Oryctolagus cuniculus: one gene and its partner. The protein of the gene in region 2 purifies or fractionates together with the protein of the main gene of each other region. This does not show direct contact. Links are inferred from orthologs where the notes say so. Each region holds a gene or a part of one and is shown on either strand. Other genes may lie near its edges.

Region 1 (5,414 bases), on a different chromosome or scaffold from region 2:
GCTCCGGGGCAGGGCGTGGGCCTGGCTCAGGCTGCTCAGCAGGGCCAGGCTGGCCGACAGGCTGGTCAGGTAGTAGCCACCTGGAGCACAAGAGGGGAGGACTGCAGCTCCCTCCGGACACGGGGACAAGGGACACAGGAAGCACCTGCCCGCGCTCACGCGCGCTCCCAGCCCCGCCCCCACCCCCGGCTGGCAGGTGCTCCGTGCGGGTGTGCTGGGTGGTCCCTCACCCTCCCCCGTGAGCAGGGCCGGCTCCAGCAGCTCGGACATGTACTCGGCCTCCAGCAGCAGCTCGGGGAGGTCGCACTGGGCCAAGACGAAGCTCAGCAGGGGCAGGAACTCATCAGCGCCGGCACCCTCGCCTGCGGGGACGGGGAGGCGGAGGCTTCAGGCTCCCCCCGGGGCAGCCCAGCGGCCCAGACCCATCCTCGGTCAAGATCTGTCCTCTGCCTGCCCAGCCCTGGGCGGTGCCACTGCTGTAGCGACCGCCCGAGTTGAGGGGCTACAGAGAGGGGCCGCAGCTCGCTCGGGTCTCAGTTTTACCATCTGTGAGATGGGAGGGCTGACCGAGCCGTCATGCATGCTGTGTCGGGGGGGGGCTCACCCGCGTGCGTCCTCAGGGCCACGTACAGCAGCTTGCAGGCCTGCAGCAGCCGCTGCACCTGGGCACTGGGGGAGTAGGTGCGGAGCAGCTGCAGCAGCTTCTGGCGCACCTGCTCCGTCTCCACGGCGGACGGCAGGCTCAGGTGAGACCCGAAGGCCCCGGGGCCCTGGGCCCGGGCCAGGCGGAGGCCCTCAGCCAGGCGGCCCAGGGAGCCATCCGCGGAGAGCCGGCGCCGCAGGCGGGCTGCCAGGACAGGCCGCAGGGGTTTGAGCACGCAGCGGTGCAGCGACTTCTCCAGGACCTGCTCTGCAGGAGGAGGGTGGGGGAGGGCGAGGAGGTGAGGGAGGCGGGCAGGACAGCGGCGAGGCGGGGCGGGTTTGCAGGGCAGCAGACGCGCGAGGGGCAGGGGCAGACACAGCCGGGGAAGGGCCAAGCACCCAGCCCCGGCCAGGGCCTCACCCAGCCTCTCGGACGGCAGCAGCTTCTCGGGGCCCAGCTCGGCGCTCAGCATGGCCCTGGCCCGGCTCAGAGCCTGGCGGACGCCCTGCAGTTCCTGCGGCTCAGGCCCGGCCCGCACCTGGGTCAGAAGGTCCTGCACCAGCTGGCCCACGGCCGTGTGCCTGTCCCGCGTGAGCGCCCTGGCCGCCCGGCCCACCTGCCGCTCGGGTGCCAGCAGCGAGCAGAAGGCGGCACTCATGGAGCGCAGCAGGGGTCGCCGGCGGCCCAGCTGGGGCGAGGTCGCTGGGCTCTCCCGGGACTGGGGCGCCCCTTCCTCCTCGGAGCTGCTGGGGGAGCCGCAGTCCACCTCCTGGAGGGAGGGCAGCGGGGGGACGCCGGGGCCAGCGCCCCCGGGCACGCGGTAGCCCGTGGAGCCCTCCCTCCGCAGCAGCTGGCGAGGGGGCACCCTCTCGGCCTGGCTGGCCGCTGTCGCCGCCGGCAGCTCCGGCACCGGGGGAGGCGGCACGGCCGGCGGGGACAGCGGGCTGGAGGTCTCGGTGGACACGCGTACTTTGAAGCTCCTCTTGAATTTCTCCCGCTTGGTGGGGCCCAGGTCCCCCGGGAACAGAGGGTTGAAGAAGCACAGGGCGGCCCCGGTGCCCTGGTCCAGCTCTTGAGGGGAGCGGGCCTTCAGCCGGGGCAGCCGGGCGCCGTCGGGCGGCCCCTGCTGCGCCTTGGTGTTGAGGGAGGAGCTCCAGAACTCTAGGGACAAGCAGAGGCTAAGGCTCCGGGCTGGGTGCTCCCTCCCCGCTTGGCCCTGGCGGGTCCAGCTAGGCAGCCAGCAGGGCCCTTACCCATGCCCAGGTGGGAAATGGCTTCCAGCTCCTTGTGGGTGGCCGCCTGGTGGATGGCTCTGGGGAGCCGCAGCGGGAGGAGAAGAATGTCCCTGAAGCCAGAGAAGGAGCAGACTGTCAGGGGCGGCACAGCCGGGCTGGCCTGGCGTGGGGGGGCAGGGGGCAGGGCCCCAGGGCGGCCGACTCACCGGGCCCGGCAGTAGGCACAGATGAGCTGCACCAGGTCCGGGAACACGAGCTCCGAGCCCTCCAAGGAGACGCCTGCGAGAGCTGGGAGGTGAGGCCGACCTCTGGGGACACCCCCTCCCCACTGGCTCACAGCCCGGCAGGCCCCGCCTCTCACCGCCTGGGCGCTCCTGGATGTAGTGGCTGGAGACGAAGGAGGGGCCGCTGGCCTCGGGCAGCCGCACGCACAGGGCCTGGCACTGGTGGGTGTTAGACTTCCGCACGAGGAACGCCTGCGAGTGGATGGGTGCGGGAGGCTCAGGACCTGGGTGCAGCCCCTCTGCCTCCAGCCCTCAGCGGCCGCCAGGGGTGGGCGGGACTCACCCCCGGGGGCTCGGTCCTCAGCACGTGCAGGGCGGCCGCAGCGTTGGCCCGCAGCTGCAGCCACACGGGCCGGGTGAGCAGCAGGCGCTCCCGCAGGCTCACGATGCGCCCCGGCTGCTGGGGTCCCCCTGCCTGTCCCCCGCCGGCATCGGGCACGTCGTACAGAGGGTCCTGGGCGGGCCTGGGGGTGAGCACCCGGACTTGAGTGGGTGTCTGTGGGGGAGGGGGGACCCTTGCCTGCTCCTTCCCCCCACCTCCTCCGTCCCTCCCCGCCCCACCTGGCCGCCCTTCCAACTTCAACACTAACTTTTCTCTCTCCTGGTGGCCAGGAGGGCAGCTGGACAGGCTGGGGGCTCCGAGAGGGGCTGCCTTGGGCGCCCCCAGGGCTTCCATGGCTGGGAGCTCCTACCCGGCTTCTCCTGGGACTCAGGAAGAGAATCCAGCCCCCAGGCACAGGCGCACACATTCCCAGCGGTGAGTAACACTTCCTGAGGGCGGTGCGCCCTGGCACACCCCGCCAGTTAACTCTTGTGCGTCCACTCTGCTGGCCGGTGCCCTGCTTCCTCTCGCTTCTGGACTCGGCTCAAGGGGCAGGGATCCCCCTCCACGCCAGCGCCACTCCTAGGGTCCCAGCTGTGGGGGGCACCACCTCCACACGGTGACTCCTGCAGCCGTGCTGGTCTCCTTATAGCACGCGGGTGGGCAGGAGGGGGTTAAGTGGGGCCCACTCAGTCCCCACAAGCCCCGCCTTTGGGGCACCTTCGTCCTGCTCACGGTCAGTTACTCAGCCACCTCTCTGTGGTCAGCAGTTGAGAGAGCACCCCCTGCTGGTCACAGATGACTCACTCCTGGGCCCAACCTGGGTTTGGGGGATTTCAGGTTGCCATGGAGAAAAGATGCCACATCTCCATGGAAACCAACCCCTTTGCTTAACTGGGGTTCTGGGGGTGGTTCCGACACGCGCTAAGCAGGGGGAGTGTGGCTGTGAGGTCGGCAGCGCATGGCGCTGCTGCCGGCTGCCTCCCACGCACAGGCCCTGCCAGCCTGCCTTGCCCATCTGCCGAGCGGCAGGGCAGGTGCAGACACGACCCAGAGGCCGGGCCCAGGCTCCAGTCCCCTCCGCTGGCCACGCCGGGTGCTCCACACGCTCTGCCGGCCCCTTTCCCAGCCCGCACCCCAGCCCCTGCTGGGCAGTGGGGGAAGGCACCAGCGCAGGGTCTGCCTGCCTGGGGCACTGCCCGCGGACACCGGATCCCTCCAAGGTCCATCAGACACACACAGGACGCAGCAGAGCCCTAGGAGAGGTTTTAATCCAGTCCTGGCGAGTGGGAGGCAAACACCAAGAACCACCTGAGAGAACCGGGGAGCCGGTGTCTCACCGCCGGCTCCGGCCTGGTGGGCGCACAGGACACCTGGCTCAGAGTTCCCGGGCAGTGGGGCCCGCTGCCGTGGCCCGGAGGCTGCAGAGAGCCAGGGCCCGAGGGGCGGGCAGGATGCTGCTTTGGCTTGAGTCAAGGTCCTTCTTCGTGGCCAGGGGCGGAGGTGACAGTCTTGCCTGGCCGGTCAGCTCTCGGGCCACAGCTGTGCAGGCCCTAAGGCGCAGGAATGCAGACCAGTGCAGGCCAGAGGGGGACGTCCCGGCAGCACTGCGGCCACCCCGGGGGGCTTGTCTGTCTGCCTCGCCACAGCAAGAGTACGCGAGGCCTGCGTTCAGTGCCAGCTGCTCCGGGAACCCCCTGGCTGGGGGCAGCAGAGTCATGGCCCTGGGGAAGTGGGAGGGAAAATCATCGCTGGTCAGAGGCAGCCGGACGCAGAGGCGCGGAGGGCACCGCCCGCTCCCCGGCCCCCAAACCCCTCCAACCTAGTAAGGCTCTGCCACCGCCCCCTCTCCCTGGGCACACGGGGGATGGGAGGGGGCGAGGCAGACCCCCACACTTACCATCCGCTTTCCTCTTCTGAGGGGACACAGCTGCCCGCGCCTGCGTGGGTGAGCACAGCCCTGAGGACGCTGCCCTCCACGCATCAGAGAGCGGGCCAGGGCGGGTGGCACGACTCTTCCGGGTCTGGATCTGCCCAGCCCGGCTTCCCACCTTCCCTCCCGCCCTCCCCCGGGGCGGCCTGCAGCGGGGCCAGGCACCCACCTTCTTGATGGCCGTCCAGTCCTCCAGAATGTCGACCTCCTGCAGCATGTACACGATGTAGGGGCCTGCGGCAGGGGTCAAGGAAGCAGGACCGGCGCGCGGTGGCCATCTCGGCCCCACACCCAGTGTCCAGCAGAGGCGGTGCAGACAGTGCACGTGCAGCTCCCAGGAGCCACCTCCTACCTCGGAGTCCCCTGGTCCCCCGTGGTGGGGAGGGGGACTCGGGGCCTGGTTCACCCAGTCCACGGAGGGCACCAGGCACCACCCCTACCCCCCTCGCCCTCACCTCCTTCCTCCAGGCCGGCCGGCCGAGCCCAGTCGCTCCTAGGGGCCTCCCCACCAAAACCACAGCTCCCTACCTGGCGTCCACGCCCTCACCCCCTCCGCCCCACCCCTCGAGTCACTGCCTTCCGGACCCCTCTCTCCGCCTGTGCCCACTCTGCCACCGGTGGCCGCAGACCAACACCACCAGCATCCGGGAGAGCCAGGGAGGCCTCGAAGGCCTCACCGCGGACGCCGCGGGGCTCACTGGGTGCGGGCAGTTGGCTCGGCCTCGCCACGGCAGTCACCAAGCGAAGGTGGCCGGTCTGCGTCCCCTCCACCCGCCCACTCCCAGCTCGGGGCTGACACCTGCCTGTCTCGGGCCCCCGTGCGTGGAAGGATACCGGAAACCAGAGGTGCCTTCTTCCTCTTGCTGGGTGGCACCGCGTCCCAGGTCTTCGCGCTGCCTCTGGCGTGGAGTTTGTCATCCCACCACTCTGTGCCCCCAGACCCAAGTCAGGACCCCGCAGGCCGCTCCCACACGCACCCTTCGCCCTGGACACCGGC
Region 2 (5,363 bases):
TTTGGAAGTCAGAGTTACACAGAGAGGGAAGGAGAGACAGAGAGAGAAAGAGGTCTTCCATCCACTGGTTCACTCCCCAATTAGCTGCAACAGCTGGAGCTGTGCCCATCCGAAGCCAGGAGCCAGAGCTTCTTCCAGGTCTCCCACATGCGTGCAGAGACCCAAGTACTTGGGCCATCCTCCACTGCTTTCCCAGACCATAGCAAAGAGCTGGATCAGAAGTGGAGCAGCCAGGACCTAACTGGCGCCCATAAGGGATGCCGGCACTGCAGGCGGCGGCTTTACCCACTGTGCCACAGCAGCGGCCCCAGAAAATAATTAAACACAGGAAAACTTGGATCCAAACAGAAAGTTCATATTCTGTACTGTGCTAAAGCTTAAAGTTTCTGTACCTATTTTGGGGGTGGGAGTAATTTCAGTTATTCCTGGCCACATCCCAGGTAACAGTGGACTATTTCATAGCCCTCCTGAAGGATCTGTGTCAGCGGGTGGTTGATGAAGGTTGTATGAAAGTGAGTGGGTTGGCCGGCGCTGCGGCTCACTAGGCTAATCCTCCACCTAGCGGTGCCGGCACCCCGGGTTCTAGTCCCGGTCGGGGCACCGGATTCTGTCCCGGTTGCCCCTCTTCCAGGCCAGCCCTCTGCTGTGGCCAGGGAGTGCAGTGGAGGATGGGCCCAGGTGCTTGGGCCCTGCACCCCATGGGAGACCAGGAGAAGCACCTGGCTCCTGCCATTGGATCAGGGTGAACCAATGGCAAAAGGATAGACCTTTCTCACTGTCCACTCTGCCTGTCCAAAAAAAAAAAAAAAAAGTGAGTGGGTCATGAACTACACCTGTCTTTGCTTCCCCCCACCTCTGTTCTTGGGGGCTGTTTTTATTTATTTATTTTGCAATGGTTCCCATTACACATTTTAAAACCAAATGTAAGTGTGATGCCGCTAATAACCGACACCTTTTAATAAAGCCAACAGGGAAGCCGAAGGAAAGGAGGAGAATAACAGCCTAGTTCTTTGAGAAGTCAGAACAAGTGGATCGATATTCAGATACACAGCGTGGGAGAGGATGGTGAGGGAGCTGTGGGAGTAAAAAACACCCTTCTCCTGACTCATCCCCTCTGTTCAGACAACAGGAGCTAAAGACGAGGAGTTCTGACTCAGAAACGGGACCGAACATTCGTATTTCTTCTCCCTGTCTCCGCCAAAGAGGACCTGGGCTGGGGCCCCGTGCCTCGAGCACGCAGCTCGCCAGTGGGCGGTTTCGCGTTAGGGTCAACCCTCGGGACACAGAAACACGCGTGCTGGGACGGCCGGGGGGCTCCGAGGGGATTCTGGGCGGCGTGGGGCACACAGCCCGGGCACACCACTGTCCCTTCAGGTGAACTTCGTGCCATTCTGTCTGCAGGCCACGGCTACGTGTAAGCGGATCCCCCCGGGCCTTTCACGACCCTCGTGTTTCTCCGCCTCGGCGGCGCCCGCGGCGGGCACTCCGCCCTCGCTGACGGAGCTGACAGGTGCCGGCGCCGCGGGCAAGGCCCGAGCTGCACCGACGCTGAGGGCGGCGGTAGCGCGTGTGGAGCAGGCCGGCGACCGCGGACGCGGACTCGGGACCCGAGGCGGCCGTGGACGCGCGCGCGCGAGGTGGGCGCGGGGGGCCGGCCCGGCGGGGAGCGGGGCGGAGCTTCCGGAGGCCCCGCCCTCCGGGGGAGCGGAGGTGACTGGCAGGCGGGGGGCGGGGGGCGGGAGACGCTCTGCCCCACGCTCGCCCGGCGCTCGGTGGTTTAAAGATGGCGGCGGCGGCGGCGGCGTTGGGGGCGCGGAGCGGCGGGAGGGGGAGGGAGCAGCGGAGTCTGTGAGTCGCCGGGGAGCAGCGCGGCGGCCGCGGTGAGGAGTCCGGGGGCCGAGCCGCCGGCGGCCCCGGCCGCTCAGGGCCAGGGCCTGGGCCGGGAAGGAGAGGCCGGAGCAGCGCCGGGAGCCGAGGAGGAATGTGACCGGGGGGTTGGCGGGGGCGCGGGAGTACGCGAGCGCAGGGATGGGGCAGCAGGTGGGCCGCGTCGGGGAGGCTCCGGGGCTCCCGCAGCCTCAGCCCCGCGGGATCCGGGGCAGCAGCGCGGCCAGGCCCTCCGGCCGCAGGCGGGACCCGGCGGGGCGCACCGCGGAGAGCGGCTTCAATATCTTCACCCAGCATGGTGAGTGTGGCGGGGCGCGGGGCGGGGGCGGGCGGCCGGGGGGCGCGGGGCGGAGGGGTGCCGGCGGGTGGGGGCGGAATCGGCTGCCATCTGGGCCCGTCACGGGCGGCGAGCACACCCCTCCCCCCGCCCGTCTCCAGCCTGGCTGGCAGCTCCTGGGGGCGGTCACTCGGAGCTCGGGTGGACTGGCCTGTCCCCCGGCTCGGGGCCGTGCGTCGTCCGGGGGAGGCAGGGATGAGGGGAGCGAGGGGCTGCGTCCGGGCGGTGGGGGGGTGGAGGCCGGTTGTCAGCGGAGGCAGCCCCAGTGTGGCTGGGGAGCTCGGGCGTGCACCTCGGGAGACTGGCGGGGAGCGGTGTCAGGGTGGCGGGCTGCACGGTGCCCTGGAATGCCCGTCTTTGTAGGAAGGTGAGGGTGCGAGCCCCTGACTGTGTGTGTGTGTGTGCATGTGTGTCTGCCCCACCACCCTGCTCTGTTCCTTGGAGGACACGGTTCTGAGATGGCTGGCAAGGGCTGTAAGTTGGTGGGCATGGCTAGGACTTCCTTCTGGGTATGGGCAAGTTTTCCTTTGTAGCCTGTGTGTGTGTGTGTGTGTGTGTGTATGCCTATGTACGTATAGTGCTTGCAGATATGTGGCCTGGCACCTATCCCTTGGGTCGCGTCTATTTATCTTGAGAATAGTTTGTCTTCAAACCCCTTTGTTACGCACTCAGTAAAAATGTTGAGCGTATATTCTGATTTGTGTATTTTAGGCCGTTATGTTCGTGTACCGTGCTAATATGTGCTGTAATTCTTAAACGTATGCAGAAATAGAATTTAGGAAATGATAGGCTGAGAATATCATAAGGCTCCTGACCCCTCCCACCCCCCCACCCCCGCCTCGCCCCGGCCCAGTGGATCCTGTACACTTCCTCAGAGACATACTCGTGTCACTTCTGAAACCTCTTTGCTAGAGGGAATAAAATCAACATTGACTTGCCTGGGATTGAGGTCCCCCCCATATCCACGAAGGGCTGAAGATGGAGGTGTGGCTGGTGGAGGGACTGGCCGGTTGAAAGTGGCCGAGAGGGGCAAACTGGACAGTGACGGAAGACGGATGTAGAAGACGGTAAAGGGTAGAAGAGACGGGTTTCTGTGTCACACAGTCGAGGGAAGTGGAGGGCGAAAGTGAAGTGTGGATCCTTTGCTAGCAGTGGCGTTGGGAGAGTGTCATGGCTGATGGTAGCATGCACAGAAGGATGAATCCGAGGGTCCGTGACTAATAGCTGAGTTGTGTCAGAGGTCTGAGTTTGGACTTTGTGGTTACACTGAGTTTTTAAATTTTTAATGTATTTGAAAGGCAGAAAGAGACAGAAGTCTTCCATCTGCTCCTCACTGTCCAAATGACTGCAGCAGCTGGGGCTGGGGCCATGCCGGAGCCCAGAGCCCGAAATGGACTCTGGGTTTCCCAGGTGGGAGGCAGGGACCCCAGTGCTTGAGCCATCATCTGCTGTCCCCCAAGGTGCACAGTTGAAGGAAGCTGGAATCGGAAGTGGAGCCAGAACTCGAACCCAGACACTCTAGTGTGTCTCAGGTGGTGTCTCAACTTCTGCCCCAAACACTTACCCCACAGAGTGAGTGTTTCTTCATGGAGGAGATGTCTGTAACTTGGGTCTATGCACGCTTCAATTCACATACCTTGAAGAAACCTCAAGCACATCTTTAGTAGCAGACATATAAAGCGATGTTTAATATTTGATGCAGGTGCCATAGGAGTTGGTGGTGGTGGTGGTGGTTGTTGTTTGACAGGCAGAGTGGACAGTGAGAGAGAGAGAGACAGAGAGAAAGGTCTTCCTTCCGTTGGTTCACCCTCCAATGGCCGCCGCGGCCGGCGTGCTGCAGCCGGCACACCGCACTGATCCGAAGCCAGGAGCCAGGTGCTTCTCCCGGTCACCCATGCGGGTGCAGGGCCCAAGCACTTGGGCCATCCTCCACTGTTGTTTTTTATTGAAATTACTTCCTAAACCATGGGAGGAAAGAAAAGAGGAGTAGTTCTCAAGAGGATGGGCATTTGGTCCAGCAGTCACGATGCTGGTGCCCAGTGACTTAAGGCTTGGGCTTGATTCCAGGCTCCGGCTCCTGATTGCAGCTCCTGCTGGTGCAGGCCCTGGGGCCAGCACATGATGGCTCAAGTGTTTGGGAGGCCTGGACTGAGAGCCTGGCCTCTGCCTTCAGCCTGGCTGTTGGCAGGCATTTAGAAAGTGAACACGCCAATGGACGGTGTTTGTATCTCTTTGCCTGCCTATTTGCCTCTTGAATACGTTTTTTAAAAAAGTTTCCAGGGAAGAAATCGTCCAAGTAGCTTTGCTTTGTGGGAAGTGTTCCTGTGCGTTAAAAGTGGGCCACTGGGCCGTGGTGATCACCTTCCTCTAATATTCAGGACAGAAGATTGTCGGAGGAGGAAGAAGTCGCGAAGAATAGGATAGCAAAGACATGTTCGAAGGATGGATGGAATTTGGACCAAGGGAGCAGGAAAAGGCAGTCTGAGTGGGAACGGTGGGGATGGGCTTGATTTGTTGGTGGGACAGTGAGGAGACGTCTGTCAGGAGTGAACTTTGACCTCCAGCAGAATCGCAAGTCAGGTTCTATGCTGGCTCTAGCTGACTGGTGCGTTTAGTCATCACTTTTGGATTTCTTTATCTGTACAATGAGGTGAGGCAACATGATCTCTGAGATTCTTTGTCTTTAAGATTTTATGATTTTAATTGAGAAACAACAGAAAAAAACAGGTTGGATGGACTGGGTTATGGAAAATCTGGCAAAGAGGTTTGTGTTGGTTTGCCTGATTGGCTAGTTGATAGGATGTATCAGTAAACCCAAGTGTGAAATGTAAGACTGAGGCGAGAAATGGAAGAGGAGGGGTCAGGGCCATTTCATGTGTTCAACAAACAAAAGGTTTTTTTGAGCACCTACTTAAGTATTGGGCCATGGAAGTGGTGCGGTGAATATAATAGAGTGCTTGCCAGGATGGAACTTAGAGGACTTTGTGATCAGTGTAGACTATGAAAGGAGAGAGAGCACATTGGAGTGCTTGTTAAAGGCATGAGCTCTGAGGCTGGCTTGATGAATAAAAGCCACTGCTCGGGATGCTGGAGTCCCATATGGGTGCCTGTTCAAGTCCCAGCTGCTCCACTTGCTACC

Evidence for each region. The genes of interacting proteins can lie anywhere in the genome.
Region 1: the proteins of ABL2 (region 2) and RIN1 purify together in Homo sapiens (co-immunoprecipitation; 3 studies listed by BioGRID and IntAct, counting the BioPlex papers as one, with this or other methods). This does not show direct contact. The link is inferred for Oryctolagus cuniculus from reciprocal best matches to the Homo sapiens genes ABL2 and RIN1.

The regions. Positions count from the first base shown.
Region 1 is NC_091432.1:5,520,239-5,525,652, reverse strand, and holds the start of RIN1 (ras and Rab interactor 1), read right to left. Parts: upstream 3,598-5,414; 5' UTR 2,912-3,597; coding exon of another isoform or gene 2,839-2,911; coding exon 2,753-2,838; intron 2,627-2,752; coding exon 2,446-2,626; intron 2,355-2,445; coding exon 2,240-2,354; coding exon of another isoform or gene 2,158-2,239; coding exon 2,085-2,157; intron 1,989-2,084; coding exon 1,897-1,988; intron 1,805-1,896; coding exon 1,064-1,804; intron 911-1,063; coding exon 605-910; intron 363-604; coding exon 231-362; intron 81-230; coding exon 1-80. Other genes in the region: BRMS1 (breast cancer metastasis-suppressor 1), read right to left, coding at 4,201-4,208, 4,385-4,424, 4,587-4,651, 5,252-5,344. UniProt on the Homo sapiens protein: Ras effector protein, which may serve as an inhibitory modulator of neuronal plasticity in aversive memory formation. Can affect Ras signaling at different levels. First, by competing with RAF1 protein for binding to activated Ras.
Region 2 is NC_091438.1:7,420,022-7,425,384, reverse strand, and holds the start of ABL2 (tyrosine-protein kinase ABL2), read left to right. Parts: upstream 1-1,794; 5' UTR 1,795-2,028; coding exon 2,029-2,185; intron 2,186-5,363. UniProt on the Homo sapiens protein: Non-receptor tyrosine-protein kinase that plays an ABL1-overlapping role in key processes linked to cell growth and survival such as cytoskeleton remodeling in response to extracellular stimuli, cell motility and adhesion and receptor endocytosis.